Danio rerio: one gene and its partner. The main gene of each other region encodes a partner of the protein of the gene in region 2 in a complex. Links are inferred from orthologs where the notes say so. Each region holds a gene or a part of one and is shown on either strand. Other genes may lie near its edges.

Region 1 (4,356 bases), on a different chromosome or scaffold from region 2:
ATAAAACTAGAATGAGAGGAACTTAAGACTTTTGAGCAGATAGTCAATGTTTGACAAAGGGAATAAATGTTATCTTGCCGCATCTTCTTGCGTGTCACTATATGAAACGTGGCCCACTTACGCAATGTCCATTTTCTAGTCCACTCAATGAGAGACGCTCACTATGAAATTAGTTTGAAAGCGGATAAAGCTTTTAGCATATTATTGTGGTGTTTTTTTAATGCCAGGTTCAGACTAAACAATGTTTTTGTCTGTTGTGTTGGTTCATTTTAGTTGTGATTTTGACTATTTAAAAGGCATGTATGATGTCACAGCGAAGGCAGAACTTGTTACTGACTAATGTAAATGTTAACAAACAAAGGCATCTGAACTCAAACCTTTCCTTCATTGCTCCTATGGTTCAAAGTCAGACATTGTGGAGAAAAAATGTCTACCCCATGCCTATAGCCAACCACCAAAGGGCACTGAAAATATTTTGAATGTCTCTTTAGAATGTCTAAGGAACACTAAACATAATGGCTGAAAGTTGTTTGTGAATCACAGTTGTTACTAGAAGGGATAGGTTGGATGAGTGGATGGTGGATGAGGAGTGGTGCCTACTCCATACATCACTCTCTTTGTCAATTTTATCAGGGAGAAATCATGTAATCTGAACCTGGCATTAAAAATTCTTTAGGACTGGTGATTTTTTTTTGTTAGTTTTTACATAAAATAGGTAGTTTTTACCAAGCAAAAATAATTTTGATTGTCACTTTTTTAATAAAAGAACCTAACTGCCAATACAGAATTCAAATGGTTGATGATTTCTGAATTAAGTGCACTTCAACCTTCCTGTGCGTTTGCTTGAATTCTTCAAATTGCTGATCAACACTACTCAACAGTACTGAGTAGTAGATTAAAAAGAAATACAGACAAAGTGAAAGTCTAGTCAACGTAATCCTTCTGTAAACCTCTATCACACAATCACTACGCCAGCCACATTATTAAAAATATTTATCACGGTTCTACAGAGCAAAATGGTTAGGTATGTACCTTTTTTCTGTAGAGACTCATAGAAATGTATGAAAGAAAAAGCTCAGATTGTAGCACAAAACATGAGCACTGGTTCCGTTGAACACTGTTTCCTAGTTGCAAACAAAAAAAGAAAACAAAATAAAAATAAAGTGCTTCCAATAAGATCTCCTCACCTGAGGACAAACACATGACAAAAAATTCACCTCACAAAAATCTACAATCTTGAAAAATTGATTTACACAAAATGTACAGTCTAACGAAGGTTTGTTTGCAAACATTCATTCTCCACACACACACACAGTATATACAAAGTACTCTTTATCCAGAGTACTGACTATTTACACTGTCTGCCATTTTTTTCTTCTTCGAAACAGTTATCAAAACACGATACGCATTATAAAAGCACAGCGATAAGGAAGCTGCTCAGCAGTGCAGTGAGAAGCAATGAAAAAGGACTCAGCCTGGAAGCCGAGTTGGGGAAAATCTGCCAGCGCTCCTTTTTGGGATGCAGTGTCTCCATGTCTTTCAGGGCATTGTAGGCGGCAGTGGTGAAGTTGGCATCTCCTGTAGTGAGCAGGTCAAACACACAGGAGTGGAAATAGATGTCCTTCACCTCCAGTTGGTCCCTGCACCTCCTGGAGGCACTTTCAAGAGTGAAGACGCCTCTCTGGGCTTCCACCCTGGGCTGCTGCTGCTGCTGAAAGCCAGCCTGCTGGAGGCCAAGCACGGGCAGCTGGAGGTGTCCCTCCTGGTCAATGCGCTCTGATGTGGGGCAGCCGTTCATGCACAGCTGCAGGTCCTGCGTTTCATCAAAGGCCATGGCCAGTTCCTCAGGCATCCGCACAGCTAGTGTCAGGTAACGGCCCTGCTGGCGTATGATGATGGTGACCCCGATGTACGCAGCGTGGATTTCTACATGCCGACCGGGAGATTTCTCCAGGATCCAGATGCTGCGGGTCTCACTGTCACCTCCGCTGATGGTGCCGTCTACGAAGGCGGCTGGAAGGTCGTCTGTCACGGCCTGGTAGACCTTCTGGTCTGTGCATTCTTGGTATGGTTTGAAGATTATTGTGATCTTAAAAGAAGCACAAAGAGCATAGTTAGACTACAGAGTCTATTTACTATCTAGAGCGTTTTACTGATCTTACTGTGACAATTCATTTAGGGGTATAACGTCATGGCTTTTTGGTTTGGTAAGCAGGAGTGCAGAACAAATACTGTACATGTGCAGAATTTACTTTTAATACTTTATAAAGTATAAAAAATATCAAGCTATATTCATTTCCATTTTAAAAATTCACTACTAATTCTTTAACCCCATGACCAAACTGTTTGCTGTACTATAAAATAAATAGGTTTGGTCCATTTTATTAGAAAATGTTAGGTCTGCTGCTGCTTTTTCTATGACCTTTATGATATCAGTAGAATTGATTCATTTTGATTGACATAATTGTCTCCACATACATGCAAGCATTTTGATTTCTGTGGACATATTCTGAATGAACACTTATTTACAATTATCAAACTTTTTTTAAAATTACAATTGTTTTTTGATGATGTTAATGAATTATTATTAGTTCTGTATTATAGTAAGTATTATAGCATTTATTGCAAAATTTGAAATAGTATTTGTTTTTTAAAATAATATCTTTTATTTCAGATTAGTTTTATTAATTTTAGAACTTTTAGCAATTTTTAACTTAAATAGGTCTCGCTACTCGCTGTCTTGTCACCACAGCTGATTCCGACTGATTAGCCGGAATTATTTCCTGCAATTATCAGATAAAATAGCATGCTGTGTGCACATAATCGTGCTCACAAATTGTTCAAGTTGCCTCCACTTCCCAGGTAAGTAAAATCATATGCTTATATACCATGTTTGTAAATGTATTTGTTTTCCTTAAGATTACTTATCATTTATAATTTTCTTTAGACCTGTTAAGCACTCCAGAATCAGACAGATTGATTGACTCTTGGCTATAAAAGAGTAATCTGAAACGTTGTCATCGAGTGTTATGTCTTGCTCCACTTCTTTGCCGTTATTTGACATCCCGCGGTCCGTGTGATGACGCGTGAACAAAATTATGACAGTTGGCCACACCTACTTGTAGCTTCTTTTGCATTGTTTAGAAACGTACAGTCTATGCTTTAAACATGGTTTAAGTTGACAAAAAAATTTTATCTCATTTTTTTTCAAAACTATTCATTATTATATGGCAGCTATTCAGATTGTTGGATAATATTCCCGCAAAATAAAACATACAGCTACTGTGTTTGTAAATAACTTTTGAGACCCAATAACAAATCAAAACAAAGATTAACCTGAAAAGCATAAATATTAAATGACAACAAAAACACCAGTCCATTTAAAACATAGTCACTTTAAATCTGTTTCCCCAAACAATTCCCATTTTCCTATTGGCGGAACAAAATATCTATTATTAGTTGAGCAGACGATACAATATTGGTCCAGTCAGGATTTATAAACAAACTGAGAAATATTTTTTAACATCACACACAACAAAAAGCATATTTCCAGTGTATCTGTACATTACAATGCACTTCTTAATATAATTTGTGTTGATATAATAACACAAATCACGTGAAAAAAATGAGAATTAAACAAGAAAATCTGGATTTGTACAGTTCTTTAGACTTTCACACATATTTACAGACACGCAAACCCTTTCTGCAAGTGTGAACCATAAAATGCAGTCAGCTTACAGTTGCTGTGAAACTCTAAGACTTGTGGGAAGCAAAAGCACTGGCTAATAGGAAGTGTGGCGTTACATTAGTGGTGGATGAATAGTAGCTTTGTACACAGGATGAGGATGAAAAATGATGACTAGTTGGCCATAAGGTGAGGCAGCTGAAAAGGCCTCAGTTAAGCACTGTGTGTTAATAATTACTTGCAAATGTTTAATGATGGCTCCCCCACCTTTAAGGTCAAGGGGTCAAATGAGCAGTAATTAGCATTGGCAGCCAGACTTAGCATTGAAGCCACATCTGTCCTATGATGAGCTCAACAAAAATAGCAAATATCTTGCATACGCAGGCTGTATCATTTACGGCTATTTCATATTACAGAAATGCTTCTGATTTAGCACTTATGGCTTTGTGTTTGTTGTAAACGGCTCTGCTTCGAGTGTTTGTCTGTAAGTGCCACACTTGGGGAAAAAAAAAACCCCAAAAAAAAAACAGAGGCTTCTTTCAAAATCACCTTTAATGGGTCATGCTGTGTTGCAGGCCACAGCCAGCCATTAATGATGTTACAATTTCACAGACATGTTGGTCACAAGTGTTAGTCACAAGATGATGGCTGTTTGCTTTGTTTAACTTGCA
Region 2 (5,482 bases):
TGTTTTTCTTCATGCTATTACACTTCCCACAATTATAATACAATTACCTATAGTAATACTATGTTTTTTCCACATGATTTCAGGTTAATACTGTGTTTTATGGTGGTAATGCCACAGATTTTTAAAAAAGCATTACGTAAATATCAACTTTTAGACATTTATCATGGCAATCCAAAGACATTTTTTGAATAGCTATAGTGTATCATGCACAATTAACAACATATTGCATAAATATGGAAATGATTCAGTTAGATGGTATTGCCATCTGATACCATTACGTAACTTTGATGTAACTGAAGAGATTTATCTTTTAAATGCTAATATGATCTGTCACTTTGATCTTTTCTAAAGCACTACAGCTAAACTTTTTCACAATCAGAGCTGATTCACATCCTGATTATGTGTGTGTGTGTGTGTGTCTCTCTCTCTCTCTGCATGCAATGCAACATGAAGGCAGTGCATTATAAAAATCAAAGGTTTCATTTTATCCAAGAACAGTTTGCTTTCAAAAGACTATTAAAACCAGACGACCTTGGTCTGGAGACCACAACATACTGTAAACACAGCATTATTATCAACCTGCAGCTATTTACCAGTGGGCCTACCACCGTGACATATGGCTTTCACTAACATGGGCTGAAAAGACCATCTGAAGTGCACGGAGAAGGGCAGAGAGAGTGCAGCTGATTAAAACTGTGTGTGTGTGTGCGTGTGTGTGTGCGTGCGTGCGTGCGTGTGTGTGTGCGGTGATGTGAATTACACTAAAAGGACATAACGTGCAATGGATTTCCAAACTTTCTCCTAAAATAAAATCACATTAAACCAAACATGTATAACTTTCTTTCTTCACAAAGAGATGTTTTGCAGAATGTTACAGGTTACTTTTTTCAATAAAGGTAAATGCGAGCTAATATCCCCTTTTATCTTCACAAATAGAGGTTTTAAATGACAGGGAGATGAATAGATGATCATTATTTTCCTTCAGGTGAGAGAAAAACCAAGCATTTTTGCTCCGTGTCCACAGAAGATGTGGAAACTATAAATCTGCATAGAGCATTTCACACGGCATAAACTAAAACCATTCAAAGCTTCTGAGGACTCGGTTACAAAAAGCAAGACTGCTTAAATGCCGTTTTAAAAAGATTTACTCAGAAAAAAATAAAAGCATATTGAGGCCACCTACTTGTAACCGGCCCAGGAGTTTATTTACTTTGAGCAGAGGTCCATCAAAAGTCCTGTGCCAGATGCATATTGACACAGTTGGTTTTGGTCAGAGAACCGGATTAAAAAAAAGCTTGCGCAGATTTAATGGGTAGTGAAATGCTAAGCAGAAATAAGATGTTTTCTTATTTTGACTCTATTGTATAAACTGAAAAGGACAATTTAACGTTAATGCAGTAGACTCCAAAATGGGTAGTTGACGTGACATTTCAAGCAGTGACAGCAGCATCCTGTAGTTTGACAGGCTATAACTCAATCGAACTATTTCCTTTCTAACTTTTTTTTGTGCCATCATAGACATTTATGATGAGGTCTGGTCATTTGTCAAACTAGATAAAAATATTTATGCTCACAATCAGTTATTACAGTCCCTACAGCTATTTAGAGTGCTAAAAAAAAAAAAATTATATATATATATATATATATATATATATATATATATATATATATATATATATATATATATATATATATATATATATATATATATATAATTAAAGTTTATATATATATATATATATATATATATATATATATATATATATATATATATATATATATATAAAAGTTTATATTTTATATTTAAAGTTTATATATATATATATATATATATATATATATATATATATATATATATATATATATATATAAAAGTTTATATACATTAAAGTTTATATTTTAGCTGTTGTAACTTGCCACAGTTTTAAGTATATATATATATATATATATATATATATATATATATATATATATATATATATATATATATATATATATATATATATATATATATATATACATACATACATACATACTCAAAACCGTGGCAAGTAACAACAGCTAAAATATAAACTTTAATGCGATTTTGGTAATAGAATCTGAGACTGGGGCTATCTATCACACTTTCTACTTGAGTTAATATTTTATAGTGGTTTGTCTTAAAAGCCATTTTTAGTTTTTTTTTCCTATGGGGAGACATGAAAATCTTCCCCTAAAAACTGCCAGATATTTGAGCATTTTTACCATCATCCTCGAGGACAAAACGATACTGTCCCCTAACGGTGGGGCATGCTGTCACACTGTTGGAGATTAAATAAATAAATCAATCAATCAATAAATGCATTAAAAATCCTTCCCCATAACGTAAGAAGTATTCATTTGATAGTGTTCATATGAGTAAGTTATAGTAAATGGTTATAAAAAATAATTGGTAACACTTTAGAATAATGTTTCATTAGCTAATTAACTAACATTAACTGAATATGAATAATCTTGTAAAGCACTTATCAATCATAGTTCAGCATTACCTAATGCATTATTAAAATCCAAAGTTATGCTTTTTAACATTAGTTACAAGCACCACGTATTAATATGAACTAAAGCTATTTCACTTAAATAACGTTAACAGAGATGAATAAATGCTGTGATAAACGTATTACTAATAGTTTGTTTATGTTAGTAAATACATTAACTAATAGAGTATTATTTTAAAGTGTTACCAAATAATTCGTTAAAAATATATATACATAAATGAATGTAGCCTAATATTTAATATTGCAGTGAAATAAACCCCGGTTTATTGGAGAAAAAACATTTTGACCTCACTAATCCCCATTGTGACAACTTGCCCCGGTTATAATACACATTCAGTATAACTCTATAAGTCAAACACATTGTTGTGCATCACCTTGTCCTCTGTCCACAAAGCTGGTGATGGTGTTGGCCATCCCCGCCTCGTGCAGGACACTGGTATTGACGTCTCCGCTGGTCAGGGACCAGTACAGGGACAGCATGTAGTCATGAGGGATCACTAGCGGGTGTTTGGGCTCCTCGCTGTTCTCCAGCTTCACCGCGCTCTTCATCCGCAGATGGGACGGAGCCGGAGCGATGCTCTTGATCCCGGCAGGAGCGGCACGGACTGCGGCCGGAGCGGAGGATTTCTGCGTAGAAGCTGCTTTACTGTGTTGCTGGATGCTTGAAGGGGATGCGAGGTTTGCTGCATCCTTGGGTACCCAAGAGCGCGCGGCCTCCTTGCGCCCTAAACTGACGCGCGCAGGGTTCCCGTCAGCCTTTATCGGAGGAGGACCGGCGCGGATGCGGGAGATCTTCGCGTTATCGGGGGTGCCGTTGCGCGCCACCGGGAACCGCGGATTGAGTTTGGCCGCTCCGGCGCTCATGTGACCGGCGACGATGAAGTCCAGCAGAGTCCAGAAGCCCAGTAAAAGAGGGAGACTAGTCAGAACTTTCATCCTCTGATCTTCCTCTGAGCTTCGGTGATGGAGAAATGGACAGCTCTACCATGAGCGGGTTTGGAGAGGTACAGATGAAGCTTTGGAAACGTCTGATCGATTATTATGCGCAAAACATCGCCATGAGTCCCGCTCTTCAGAACCATAGTGATCCAGCTCCAAAAGCGGAGATCCAAGATCCTAGTAGGAAAGCGCAGCGTCCTTCACCGAAGTCCAGCGGTTCTGCTTGATATCTTCAGAGAGACTTGTTTAAATTCCCACTTTTTCCAGGAGGGAAGGATGGCGTAATGCGCGCTCTCCCTCGCTCTCTTCCCCAGAGTTTGAACGCTGTCCAGTGAAAACAGCGCACACACACGCACCTGCAGGTGCTCGCGCAAACCTGAGCACAGGAATTGGAAACGGAATTCCAACGCAAACGGGCTTAATTACTCTCTGATGTCATGCTGTCCAGATTTATTCAAGTGCAATATTTCTTCTTAAAGCATGAGTCACTGAATACATAAAAACAACATCTTCGCATTAGGTCACTAAAATAAACCCTCGGTTTTTGAGCCACAAGTCAGATTTGATATGCAAATTATTCATGCATTAAACATCATGTGACAGCTGACGTAAGGATGTTAAAGAGATAGTTCAACTTAAGACAAAAAAAAAAAACCTGCCATCATATAGCTACTCACCCTTAACGTGTCTCAAAGCAGTTAGTGTTTTGTTCTGAACACAAAAGAGGATATTTGGAAAAATGTTGGAAAACTGGTAACCCTCTGAACAATGCTGGGTTGTTGCAAACCAACACTAGGTCAAATATGGACAAAGCCAGCCTCTGGGTTGTAAATGTGTAATTTTAAATTGAACTGATAAAATTAACCCAGTGTTGGATTTGTCCTTATATTTTGGGTTACAACACCAACACCCTCAGAATTTTCTCCCTAATATAGATGGTCAAAGGTTACCAGTTTTCAAAATATATTCTTTTGTGTTCAACTCTAAAAAGTAAAATAAACTCAAACAGGCTTGGAACAAATGGCTGAGTAAATGACAGATGCGTGTCTATCCCTTTAAATAAGATTTTACTATTAATGCATGAAAAAGCATTCATTAGTTTTCCTTCGGCTTAGTCCATTTATTCACCAGGGGTCACCACAGCGGAATGAACCGGCAACTCATGCAACATCCGTTTTACACAGCGGTTGCCCTTTCAGCTGCAACCCAGTATACGAGGAAACAGCCATACACTACAGAAAATTTAGTTTATCCAATTCTCCTATAGCACATGTCTTTGGACTGTGAGAAAACCAGAGCACCCGGAGGAAACCCACACCAACACAGGGAGAACATGCAAACTCCACACAGAAATGCCAACTGACCCAGCTGGGACTCGAACCAGTGGCATTCTTGAACTAACATTAACTGAATATGAATAATTTTGTAAAGCACTTATCAATCATAGTTCAGCATTACCTAATGCATTATTAAAATCCAAAGTTCTGCTTGTTAACAGTTACATGCACCAAATTAATATGAACTAACGCTATTTCACTTAAATAACGTTAACAGAGATAAATAAATGCCGTGATAAATGTATTACTGATAGTTTGTTCATGTTCGTAAATACATTAACTAATAGACTATTATTTTAAAGTGTTACAGAATAATTCGTAAAAAAACTACCCATACATAAATATAGCCTAATATTTAATATTGCAGTGAAATAAACCCCAGTTTATTGGAGAAAAAAACATTTTGACCTCACTAACCCCCATTGTGACAACTTGCCTAGGTTATAATACACATTCAGTATAACTCTCCAAGCCAAACACATTGTTGCGCATCACCTTGTCCTTTGTCCACTGGGACAGTTGGTATTTCTGTGAGGAGTTTGCATGTTCTCCCAGTGTTGTCGTGGGTTTCCTCCTGGTGATCCGTTTTTTCCCACAGTCCAAACACATGTGGTGCAGGTGAATTGAATAAGCTAAATTGGCCGTAGTGTATGCAAGAGTTTTAGGGTGTTT

Evidence for each region. The genes of interacting proteins can lie anywhere in the genome.
Region 1: the proteins of gdf5 (region 2) and rgmb are in contact, whole or in part, in a crystal structure (PDB 6Z3J), measured with the Homo sapiens proteins. The link is inferred for Danio rerio from reciprocal best matches to the Homo sapiens genes GDF5 and RGMB. Residues at the interface, in NP_000548.2 of Homo sapiens: Leu396, Arg399, Phe435, Pro436, Leu437, Arg438, Ser439, Asn445, Val448, Ile449, Leu452, Ser455, Met456; in NP_001353437.1 of Homo sapiens: Gln57, Thr60, Phe63, Val64, Thr67, Ser68, Leu70, Asn71, Tyr88, Leu103, Val104, Ser107, Ala108, Leu110, Gly111, Ile112, Asp114, Leu115, Gln118.

The regions. Positions count from the first base shown.
Region 1 is NC_133180.1:56,369,293-56,373,648, forward strand, and holds part of rgmb (repulsive guidance molecule B precursor), read right to left. Parts: intron 2,090-4,356; coding exon 1,409-2,089; 3' UTR 1-1,408. UniProt on the Homo sapiens protein: Member of the repulsive guidance molecule (RGM) family that contributes to the patterning of the developing nervous system. Acts as a bone morphogenetic protein (BMP) coreceptor that potentiates BMP signaling. Promotes neuronal adhesion.
Region 2 is NC_133181.1:55,375,627-55,381,108, forward strand, and holds part of gdf5 (growth/differentiation factor 5), read right to left. Parts: intron 3,962-5,482; 5' UTR 3,471-3,961; coding exon 2,909-3,470; intron 1-2,908. UniProt on the Homo sapiens protein: Growth factor involved in bone and cartilage formation. During cartilage development regulates differentiation of chondrogenic tissue through two pathways.